Linked DNA regions of Saccharomyces cerevisiae S288C. The main gene of each other region encodes a partner of the protein of the gene in region 3 in a complex. Each region holds a gene or a part of one and is shown on either strand. Other genes may lie near its edges. The genes, in order: VAR1, RSM26, MRPS16 and RSM10.

The links.
Region 1: MRPS16 (region 3) and VAR1 share a complex: the UniProt entries of both Saccharomyces cerevisiae proteins name them as parts of the mitochondrial small ribosomal subunit.
Region 2: MRPS16 (region 3) and RSM26 share a complex: the UniProt entries of both Saccharomyces cerevisiae proteins name them as parts of the mitochondrial small ribosomal subunit.
Region 4: MRPS16 (region 3) and RSM10 share a complex: the UniProt entries of both Saccharomyces cerevisiae proteins name them as parts of the mitochondrial small ribosomal subunit.

The regions. Positions count from the first base shown.
Region 1 is NC_001224.1:46,905-50,679, forward strand, and holds VAR1 (mitochondrial 37S ribosomal protein VAR1), read left to right. Parts: upstream 1-1,996; coding exon 1,997-3,193; downstream 3,194-3,775. Other genes in the region: OLI1 (F0 ATP synthase subunit c), read left to right, coding at 1-49. UniProt on the Saccharomyces cerevisiae protein: Component of the mitochondrial ribosome (mitoribosome), a dedicated translation machinery responsible for the synthesis of mitochondrial genome-encoded proteins, including at least some of the essential transmembrane subunits of the mitochondrial respiratory chain.
Region 2 is NC_001142.9:616,644-619,534, forward strand, and holds RSM26 (mitochondrial 37S ribosomal protein mS42 RSM26), read left to right. Parts: upstream 1-1,590; coding exon 1,591-2,391; downstream 2,392-2,891. Other genes in the region: AIM25 (Aim25p), read right to left, coding at 1-691; ESCRT-II subunit protein VPS25, read right to left, coding at 2,514-2,891. UniProt on the Saccharomyces cerevisiae protein: Component of the mitochondrial ribosome (mitoribosome), a dedicated translation machinery responsible for the synthesis of mitochondrial genome-encoded proteins, including at least some of the essential transmembrane subunits of the mitochondrial respiratory chain.
Region 3 is NC_001148.4:528,450-531,217, reverse strand, and holds MRPS16 (mitochondrial 37S ribosomal protein bS16m MRPS16), read left to right. Parts: upstream 1-1,867; coding exon 1,868-2,233; downstream 2,234-2,768. Other genes in the region: mRNA-binding protein RRP12, read right to left, coding at 1-1,495; CIP1 (Cip1p), read right to left, coding at 2,526-2,768. UniProt on the Saccharomyces cerevisiae protein: Component of the mitochondrial ribosome (mitoribosome), a dedicated translation machinery responsible for the synthesis of mitochondrial genome-encoded proteins, including at least some of the essential transmembrane subunits of the mitochondrial respiratory chain.
Region 4 is NC_001136.10:538,205-540,996, reverse strand, and holds RSM10 (mitochondrial 37S ribosomal protein uS10m RSM10), read right to left. Parts: upstream 1,195-2,792; coding exon 583-1,194; downstream 1-582. Other genes in the region: YDR042C (uncharacterized protein), read left to right, coding at 1-396; Na(+)/Li(+)-exporting P-type ATPase ENA1, read left to right, coding at 2,530-2,792. UniProt on the Saccharomyces cerevisiae protein: Component of the mitochondrial ribosome (mitoribosome), a dedicated translation machinery responsible for the synthesis of mitochondrial genome-encoded proteins, including at least some of the essential transmembrane subunits of the mitochondrial respiratory chain.

The DNA.
Region 1 (3,775 bases), on a different chromosome or scaffold from region 3:
AGGTTTATTCTGTTTAATGGTTTCATTCTTATTATTATTCGGTGTATAATATATATAATATATTATAAATAAATAAAAAATAATGAAATTAATAAAAAAATAAAATAAAATAAAATCTCATTTGATTAAATTAATAACATTCTTATAATTATATAATTATTATAAAATATATAAATATTATAATAATAATAATATATATAAATTATAATAAAAAATAATAATAATATATAATATACCTTTTTTTTAATATATTAATATATAAATAAATAAATAATGGATAATATATAATTACTTTTTTTATATTATTAATAATAATAATTTATAAATATTGTTATAATAAACATTTATATAAATAAATATAAATTACCATAATAAGATATATTATTTATTAATAATAAAAATATTTATTAATAAATAAGAAATATATATATTATGATAATATTTATTAATAAATAATAAATTCTTTATATATAAATATATTAAATATATTTAATTGAACACAATATAATTTTTATTGTATTATTCATTTAATAATATTAATATTAATATTAATATAATATTAGTGAACATCTCCTTTCGGGGTTCCGGCTCCCGTGGCCGGGCCCCGGAACTATTAATATTTAATAAAATATATATAATTTATAATTTTCATATAATTAATATAATAATTAGGTTTATAAATAAATTATAATATATTATAACAATATAATAAAATATATTATAAATCTATCTATCTATCTATATAATATATAAATTTATATATACATTAATAATATTTAATTATAATTATTTAAATATTTAATTTATTAATATTCCCCGCGGGCGCCAATCCGGTTGTTCACCGGATTGGTCCCGCGGGGTTTATATTATTTAAATATTAAATATTAAATAATAATTTATATTATATTAATAAATATAATAAATTAAAAATATATGATTAATTATATAATAATAATAATAATTATTTTAATATTATAATTTATAAAATTAATTATATTAATTATATTAATTCTTATTATATAATAATTATTAATAATAATTTATTTTAAGAAAGGAGTGAGGGACCCCCTCCCGTTAGGGAGGGGGACCGAACCCCGAAGGAGAAAATAAATTAATAAAAGTTTAAAAGTTCTTATATTAATAATTATATAATATTATATTAAAGATTTTTATAATATATATATATAATATATTTATAGTTCCGGGGCCCGGCCACGGGAGCCGGAACCCCGAAAGGAGTTTATTTAATATTTATATTTATATTAATATTTATATTTATATTTATATTCCTCTTAAGGATGGTTGACTGAGTGGTTTAAAGTGTGATATTTGAGCTATCATTAGTCTTTATTGGCTACGTAGGTTCAAATCCTACATCATCCGTAATAATACATATATATAATAATAATTTTAATATTATTCCTATAAAAATAAAATAAATAAATAAATAATAATAATTAATTAATTAATTAATTTTAATAAATATAAAATATATAAAAATAATAATAATAATAATTATTATTTTAATAATATTATTTATATAATAGTCCGGTCCGACCCTTTTTATTCTTAAGAAGGGATTTTATTTTATTAATTAATAATAATATATTAAAAATTATAAATAATTAATAATTCTTTATATTTATATATATATATATATATTTATATATTTATATATATATTTTAATAATATTATGATATATTTTATTTTAATAATATTTTTATTTTTATATATAAAATTATAATATTTTATTTTATAAATTATTTATATATAAATTATTAATAATAATTATTTTTTTTTATTTGGGATTTATATTATTATTATAAAGAATATAATGTTATTAATAACTGCAAAAAATATCTAATATATTATTATTTATAATAATAAATAATATTATAATAAGGATGCATATTATATATATATATATATTTCTATTTATATTAATATTAATATTAATATGTATATATAATAGATAAAAAGTAAAAATAAAAAATAATGAAATTAAAATTATTAAATATAATTTTATCAATAATAAATAAACTTAATAATAATAATAATATTATTATTAATAATCTATTAGATTCATTAATAAATAAGAAATTATTATTAAAGAATATATTATTAGATATAAATAATAAAAAAATAAATAATATAAAAAGAATATTAAATAATAATAATATAAACCCCGCGGGCGCCAATCCGGTTGTTCACCGGATTGGTCCCGCGGGGAATATTAATAATAAATTACAACATTTAAATAATATAAATAATTGAAATCTACAAATTTATAATTATAATAAAAATATAGAAATTATAAATACTATAAATGATAAATTAATTAATAAATTATTATATAAAATAATAACTTTAAAATTAAATAATATAAATATTAATAAAATTATTATAAGTAAACTTATTAATCAACATAGTTTAAATAAATTAAATATTAAATTTTATTATTATAATAATGATATTAATAATAATAATAATAATAATAATAATAATTATTATATAAATATAATAAATAAATTAATAAATATTATAAATAATAATATAAATAATAATTTATGTAATATTTTAAGTTATTATTATAAAAAAAAAGTAACTATTGAACCTATTAAATTATCATATATTTATTTAAATAGTGATATTTTTAGTAAATATATTAGTTTAAATGATATAGATAAATATAATAATGGTATCTTAACTAATTATCAACGTATATTAAATAATATTATGCCTAAATTAAATGATCATAATATTTCTATAAATTATATTAATAATATTAATAATATTAATAATAATAAATATAATAATATAATTAATTTATTAAATAATAATAATAATATTAATAATAATAATAATTATAATAATAATAATAATAATTATATTGGTAATATTAATAATATTTATAATAATATAACTATTGATAATATTCCTATAGATATTTTAATATATAAATATTTAGTTGGTTGATCTATTAAATTTAAAGGTAGATTAAGTAATAATAATGGTAGAACTAGTACACTTAATTTATTAAATGGTACTTTTAATAATAAAAAATATTTATGAAGTAATATTAATAATAATTATAAATTAAATTATATCCCTTCTAATCATAATTTATATAATAATTCTAATATTAATAAAAATGGTAAATATAATATTAAAGTTAAATTAAACTTTATTTAATATATATATTAATAGTTCCGGGGCCCGGCCACGGGAGCCGGAACCCCGAAAGGAGAAATAAAATAAATATAATAAATAAAATAAATAAATAAATAATATATATATATATATAAATATATAAAATAATATTTACTTTTTATATATATATAATTATATATAAATAAAATATAATATAATATCATATAATTATATAAAAATAAAATTATAATTTATTTATATTAAAAATATTAATTAATTAATTTTTTTATATAATTATTATAATAATAATTTAATTAAAAATAAATATCAAATAAAATTATAAATTAATCCTACTTTTGGATCCTATTTATATTTTATTATTATAAATAATTATTATTGATAGTTAATTAAATAAAAATATATATATATATTACTCCTTCGGGGTCCGCCCCGCAGGGGGCGGGCCGGACTATTATAATTATTATTAATATATTAATTATTAAATTATATAAACCGCCCCCGCGGGGGCGGTTAGTTATTTATATTAATATATTTTATATTAATATATAATACTCTTTTTTCTATTATATTTTAATATATAATATTAAAAAAAATAAATAAAAT
Region 2 (2,891 bases), on a different chromosome or scaffold from region 3:
ATGATAAGAAAGGTGCATCTATCTTACCAAATTGGTCAAAAGTGGATCCTTCTACTCCATCTTTCTGGAATAATTCGTAACGACGCCTCCAGAGATGCCAGTTCTGAATGGTCTCTCCTACTGTCGTTCCTTCTTTACCGTCGTGATAGTGAGTGGAGTCACTGCCATTATCAACATACGCGGAAGGAGGTATGATAGTCTTTATATGAGAATTGATGAACGAAAAGGGCCTTTTAATCGTCATTATTACATTTCCCCAATTATCAAAGACATCTACCAAAAAAGGACGATGTAGACGATAAAACTGCCGCATTATGGCCTTTGTTATAGAAAAATCTCTTTCCATCATTGATGCTATTTTGTTTCCGTTCACATCCATTATGGCATACCTATTAGCCTGCTCGAAACCTAGAAAAACGTTCATAAATTCTATTTGCCTTTCGATAATAACTGTCGGTTCATTAAGTATCGTAGTAGCTATAGGATCATGTACTTTTATTATCCCGCTATTGCTATTTTCTTTAAATGCTTTTACTGATGGCGCCTTCGTTATTTGGTTCTTTTCACGAATTACTCTCCTAAATGGACCGTTTCTGATTACTTTACCAGAAGAAACCGTTAATGTTTTACTCAGTGTACTGAAATTTCTCATACATGATCGGTAAGTTAGAAATATTGCCGTTCTATGCATGTCGGTGTTATCCTTTATGTTTGACCTTTAATCTTCTTTTGTTTTGTCTTTTTTCATTTCGTACTTTTCAAATCCTTATTGCCGGTAGGCTTACAAACTTGAATGAAGTATATAACGAAGTCAATGAAACCTCTCCCATACTAGGTTCGGAACCTGTTAAGGGGAACAAGACCGCGCACTTGTTATGAAAATTCTTCCTATAACTATATTGAAAGCTATTTTTCCACATCGGCAGACAAACGACTGTCCAGACTTAGTAAAGCTCTTGGTCGATTTTGTACATTGCCTTTCCTTTACAGCTCCAAGATATTATATATATTTTTGACAAGGTAATCAATTGCCCCACAAATCTTCCATATAAAAACCTATATATGCTATTAACCGAATGGCAATTCCCTCTATCTCATATCTCACCTCTACAGTAATCCTTCCGTGGTATCTGGTCTATAGAAATGGGTACTGTTTCATTTAAACGTGTTATCACTTGATCCAATGGTTACCATCTGACTTTGGCATCAATCCCTTCTTAAAAAGTAACCAATCAATGATATGCGATTGTTTATGAAGTCCATTCAACAAACAATGGGAGTTTGGCCGAGTGGTTTAAGGCGTCAGATTTAGGTGGATTTAACCTCTAAAATCTCTGATATCTTCGGATGCAAGGGTTCGAATCCCTTAGCTCTCATTATTTTTTGTATTTTTTTTTTTCACTTCCCATCTTTCCAAGAATCTTAGGAGAGGTGCCGCAGTACTTTTTTGGACTGAGCAAGAAGTATCGCAAAGCATGGAAAAGTAAGAAGGGTATAGCAAAAGTCTTTTCACAATAAGAGGATATTTTGCAGGCAAATTTCTGAAGACCACATAATATCGTCTTCTTGGCGCAACTAAGACGCAGAGAAATGCTTGTTTTCAAAAGGGGTATTCACGTAGTACCTAAACTACCAAATTCTAAGGCCCTACTGCAAAATGGAGTGCCTAATATACTCAGTTCTTCGGGATTCAAGACGGTGTGGTTCGACTACCAGCGATATCTATGTGATAAGCTAACGCTGGCGACAGCGGGACAGTCTTTGGAATCATATTATCCATTTCACATATTGCTGAAAACTGCAGGAAATCCATTACAGTCAAACATCTTCAATTTGGCGTCCTCTATCCATAATAACCATTTATTCGTGGAGAACATTCTACCTTCTGCTGTTGAACATGGCACTAACTCGAACGCCGTTGTGAAGACAGAGCCTTCTAGGCTTTTTTTATCCAAAATCAAAGATTCATTCAACGGCAGCGATTGGGAAGTAGTGAAGGAGGAAATGATTTACCGTGCTGAGAATGAAGTCTTGGGACAAGGCTGGTTATTTCTAGTTGAAAACAATGAGAAAAAACTCTTCATATTAACGAGCAATAATAATGGTACGCCGTATTATTTTCCCAGGAACCAGTCATTTGATTTAAACAGTGCGATATCCATCGATGAATTTGCTACCTTGAAACAAATGAAAGAACTGATAGGAAAGTCTACTAAGTTGAATGGTAAGGTTCAAGACTGGACCATGCCTATAATCTGTGTCAATCTGTGGGATCATGCTTATTTACATGATTATGGCGTTGGTAACCGGTCCAAATACGTGAAGAATGTTCTAGATAACTTGAATTGGTCAGTGGTAAATAATAGGATATTCTCTGGTATATCGAAGTAATGAAAAGAAAGGAAGCGATAGCCTCTTACCCTCATATGTAATTATAAAGGTATCGGGTAGAAGGGGATCTACCAAAATCTTATATACTGTAAATAGTTTTATTTTATCCTCTCGCTCGTGTTTTAAACAACCTTAATGGCAATTACTTTATCATTTTCATCTTTCAGCATTGTGGCCCTATTTCTATCGCATAGGGGCTTCAAACAATAATAGAGCAAGCTTTCGGGCATTCTATGGAACTCCCAATTGACTGTTTCATCACCTTCACTCAATTCGTATAACGTAATGACTTGATTCAGTTTTCCAGAGTCTTCGAACCACTGTAGTATCAAAGAAGCCCAACTGTCTAAGCTCTTCCATAATATAAAATATCTCGTAGTGGTGGTATTGCTGCTTCTCCTACCACTTTGGTCAATCGGTAAGCATTTGCCTTCTTTGGTCATTTGCGACCAAATTTCATCAATAAATACCTGTGATACAGATCTTTGGATGTCCTCATT
Region 3 (2,768 bases):
TCAGGGGTGCTTCTGCGAGTATCATTTCAGGGCCCATAGCAGAAATGGAGGCTCCGATTACTAATTCGATTTCATTTCTCAAATCCATAAACTGTTCTTCATTTACTCTCCATGTATCGACTATTTTCAGTGATTTTAAAAAGTGAGGATTAGATCTATATCTGAATTTGTTGAATGCTGCCACCAAAATCTTAAGAATTTCTCTGGAACAATGGGAATATCTAATGGATAAAAAGTCGATAAATGTTTTCGCAATTTGAGAGATGATTTCATCTACGTTTTTGAAAACTTTCTCATCCACACTTGGTGTATACAATAACAAATCATCTTTAACAGACTCAGAAAGGATTGAGATAAGACATTGAGAGGCAGCTTGGTACACTTCTGGAGTTTCACTAGCTAAATATGTGCACATAATGTGAAATACACCAGGAATTTTACGTAGCGCTTTCAGTGGTTGATGTGTTGCGTAAGTGGACATACCCTTAATGACCACAGCAATCCAGGACTTGGTTAATAATGTATCGACATTTGAGGGTTTTAATGCAAAAATGGTATCCAAGACTCTTAGGTACTTATTTTCAGCCAATCCAGAAGAAATGGTAGTTTCTGCCATTGTTTTGAACATGCTTTCAAAACATTCAAATGATGCAGAAACGAGATATTGCTCTGAGCTTTTGGTGACTCCCAATAGTACATCACAAAGAGGCTCAATCTGTGAAGATGGCCACTGTCCAGTAGAGACGACTGAAGTAATCAACCTTAGAGAGCGCATGACACTAGCGTTAATGTCTTCCTTTGTTTTCTGTGCTTTCAATTGTTTATTTGATAAATTCGAGAGATCATTTAAAATACCTGCTAACTGCTTGTCACAGAAATCTGCTACAAAAACTGCCGCTACATGCTCTGCAGTTGGTGCAACAGGAGGGTTTAATAAGACCGCATGAACTGCATCTAGCGCTCTCTTTCTAACTTTTGGTCTTACATCTAAAGAAAGTTCAAGTATACCCTGCAAACCTCTTTTTGGAGTGACGTTTAGATCATAAGTATTGTTCCAGGCTTGTGCATCTTGAGCAATAAGAAGAGATTCTAAACAACCAATAGCAGCTCTAATTAGAGGGGCATTAGCCTTTTCTGCAGTGATACATGGGGCAATTTTCGTTAGGATTTCAGAAAACTTCGATCTTAATAATACCTTAGGCGAATAATGAAATATCAGATCTAGAAGATATGTAGATGAGGAAGCCAATTGAATATCTTTTATTTCATGAGTAGATGGGTCTACTGCTTGATCCAATAGTGACATAAAGGAAATGATATAATTTACAATGTTTTTTGAAACATCATTTGTAGCTTGACCTGCAATATTTTCCTCAACGGCAGTTAATATTATAGCAATATGCTTTTGATTCTCCAATTTAGAGTTTACTTGGGAACGAATTTTAGCCAGCTTGTCCTCCAGCTCTAAAAGAAAAGCAACTTTGTCTTGATCCATGATGAACTCTGAGATTTGCTGATTCAATTCGCGAGATGCTGTTCAAAATCTAGAAATTACCTGGTTGAATTCAATCAGTAAAAAAATAAGTTGAACCTTTTCAAACTAAAACTCTTCTCTGAGAGAATTAACTGCGACCGAGGAAGTTCTAATTGCGCGATGAGATGAGATGATATAATTAAAATTTTAAACACTGCAGCGAAAAGAAAAATTTTCACTAATTATGATCATCTATCATTCAGGACGGAAAAAATGAAATAGTACACCAAGAACAGTTGTAAGAAAAAAGGAAGGGGAATATATACACGACTTAAGTAACGGAGGAGTTCTGACTGGTATTCCGTTAAGAAATTGTAATAGAGTTTATCAAGTATGACCTGTGGTCTAGTACGAATAAGGTTAGCTAGATTTGGAAGAAAAAATAGTCCGGTCTATAATATCGTAGTGGCTAATTCCCGTAAGGCGAGGGATGCTAAACCGATCGAGGTACTAGGAACCTACGTGCCGGTACCCAGCCCAGTGACCAAGAGAGAATTGAAGAGGGGCGTTGTACCTATTAAAGACGTGAAGCTTGATTTTGATAGAACAAAATATTGGATTGGTGTGGGAGCACAACCTAGCGAAACAGTTACTAAACTATTACGAAAGGCTGGTATATTAAATGATGCATGGGCCACTAGTAAGAACAGCAATGTGAATAGGAAAGTTGTATTTGAAAGAATGGAAACATTGGAGTGAAAAAGATCGGAAAAAAAAAAAAAAAGAAAAAGAAAGGAAAGCAAAGGAACGTGTTTTAATTGATGCGAGGTGTATATGTATATGTTGTATATATGTTTTACTTGGCGCTTTTATATCTATCAGACTTGTAAATAATACATCTATGGCCAACCAGAAAATGGAGAATGAGACTTGAAATGGAATAAATTAAATTCTTAATCGAATGTGAAGAAAAGAGAAAGTGTAATAGAATTTCATTAAGATAGTGTCATTATAGGTCATGTATTGTGTGCTCCTGACTGTTCGGCACTATTTACCTTTTAAGACGCAATAAATCTCTTTTTAGCTTCAATGATTCATTTGGTAAAATAGAGGATTCTTCAGTGGACACGTTTGCTGTAGGTAAACGAGTACTAGCTAAGGGGGACGATATGATATTGCTACGTTGTCTCGATAGCAGAGCTATGTTAAAATTAAATGCGGAATCTGTTGTAGGCGTTGGCGTGAGTAAAGAAAAGGCATTACTGTTGCTAACACTATTGTTAGAATTTGTGCG
Region 4 (2,792 bases), on a different chromosome or scaffold from region 3:
CTCAATATGAATTCAGATTCCATATCTGCTACCAAGAATGTTTTTATATTATTTTTTACCATTTTCAGATTAGCGGAGTATATTGTATACAAACTCTCTGACCAGAAGTATCGGTTACACACATCCCTGAATGTCCAACATTTCAGGTGGAATTCGAAGAAGAATACAAACAGAAAAAGGACACTTTCCTTTAGCAAAGCTTACTTACCAAGAACAAATATACTACCGATTTTTGTAGCCGATGGACTAAAAAATAGATTCTCAGGCCCGCTACCTGGTAAGTCCTTGGAAAGCTTCCAGAAACTAAATTTATTGAGCGATAACAATATTAAGCGGTATGCAGTACCAGGAAACAAAGCAGTGAACACACTTTTATGGCAAGAGCAATACTCATAACGGGCCGCAATATTAGTACAAAATTGTTCATCATATAGTTAAAAAATATAATTAAACTTACTTATAAATTCAGTATAACCATTTAATCTACTACTTTTTGCCCCTCTTCTTCACCTATTTTATTTACAAGTACGAAATCTTTTCGGTCCCAAGAACCAGCGTAATTATAGGATTGCCATCATCTTTTTACTTCTTTTCCAAATGTTTTTTAAAATCGGGGCTATCCAATAGTTCCAATACTTTTTGTCCGACAGCACTAGTTTGAGCTTTATCATCGTTTCTCAGAGAATACAATTCATCGATATTGCTTAGTGATTTTTCGAGGCCATTGGCGTCCGAACCCAAGTCCAGCGATATTTCGGACCTTTGAAAGAAGTTACATTTCATTCCGACGCCTGCCATAGAGTGCTTCGTAATGTAAGCTATCAACATCTGTAGCACTTCGGGGTTCGTATCCCAGGCCCTAATGAGCCTCTTATGTGTATGTCTTTCAAAATTCTCTTTGGATTTAGCGTGCACGAAAGGTGATTTTATTACAGTCCACCTTTCTCTTCTCGTGGGCAAAGGTTTAGGACCTGTCAATGGGATACCCAAATAGTAACCTGTTCTAAGTATGAAGTCTGAATAAAAATCGAGGTTTTCATTGTCATACGATCTTAACTGAATGTCTGCAACTAAATCACCATATTTGATAGGTAACTTTAAAGGAGCATAGTAGACTGCCTCTACATTTACAGGATATGGGCGCGTCGACTGTGTTCTGATAAATGATCTTAATGCAATGGTATTTCTAAGCATTGGCCAATGTTTTTCCCCCTTTTCTGATTTTGCACGGTTCGCATAATTCTAATTTGTACCAAATAGTTTCATTTCATGCCCTTTCTTGCATTTTTTCCTTTTCAAAAGAAAATAGATGTACAGGTATTACCCGCCTGGTACATAGTTTGCTAACATTCTTGCCCAATCTCTCTGCTGTTAATAAAGGATGTGTGGATACATGACTAATTTCCGGATTAAACAGTGACGATAAGAAACGGTATGGCAAGAGTCAGAATTTGATAAGACTTCAGTAATATTGATTATCGGTCGAACTAAGCTACCCTCTTGGTTAAATTCTAATGACTACCAGTGTGGTCAATATTTTAGGGTTATCGGTGAACGATAACAAAATCCGTAATTGTTTCCTACGCTGGTTATTACTAAGTAGCCACTCGGTGGCTATCTCTAGCCGTTCATCAATCATGTCAAAAGTACAATCACTGAGCTTATTAAGTCATCCGCACGTGGAACTCACACAAGCCCCGAATTTTGTCAGCCATTCCGTGGAAAATCCTTTATCTCGTCACTCTTGTACGGAAGTTGCACCTTTAGCCCCACTCCCAGATCTTCAATCACAGAGGCAATGAGGGTGGCTGTGCAATGTAAACTTTCTTATCGCTTCCTGTTATGATTGATTACCATGCGCGGTAGAAGGATTGAATGAGGGGTGTGGGTGTGATAATTCATGTACGGACCCTTTCCTCCCAGAAGCTTCTGCACGAAGTGGTTACATTGTGAGTACAGGGTCTTAAACATCGCCGTGCGGCGTCATTTTGCGGGGCTCATCATTTATTTCCTACTTCTATGACGTTTGTTAGGGCAGGGATGTAGATTTTGGTCATATACTTTCACCTGACAGAAGAAAAAACAAGGTCTTAGAGCAGTATTCCCGAATTATTGCCTCTTTCCTTGGTGGGTGCGGGTTAATATTAGATGAACGGTGGGTTGTGGTCAAACCCGGGGTAGGTTTTAAAATGTCATGCGTTTTCGTCATTTACATAGATATATACAGGGAAAATATATATATATATATATATATATATATATACCTAAGGGAAACAATTTGAATAGATAAAAGGTCTTTTCCTCTTATTCCGTTCTTTCTTTTTAGAGTACTATTAATTTCTACTATTTCTCCTATCTTTCTTTTCTCATTAGTAATAGTCTAATCATTTATATTCTAATATTAACTTTAATAAAGCAGATATCTTCATCAAGTGAACTGTTCACACTTAATTCACATTTATTTGAGGCAACAATACGTATATTTACTAATTAAAGAAAAAACTTCGTACACAGAATTGAAAATTTTCGATGGGCGAAGGAACTACTAAGGAAAACAATAATGCAGAATTCAATGCTTATCACACGCTGACTGCAGAAGAAGCCGCTGAATTCATAGGCACAAGTCTAACTGAAGGTTTGACCCAAGATGAGTTCGTCCACAGATTGAAAACAGTGGGTGAGAACACATTGGGTGATGACACTAAAATTGATTACAAGGCAATGGTCCTCCATCAGGTATGTAATGCCATGATCATGGTCCTTCTAATATCCATGATAATCTCGTTTGCCAT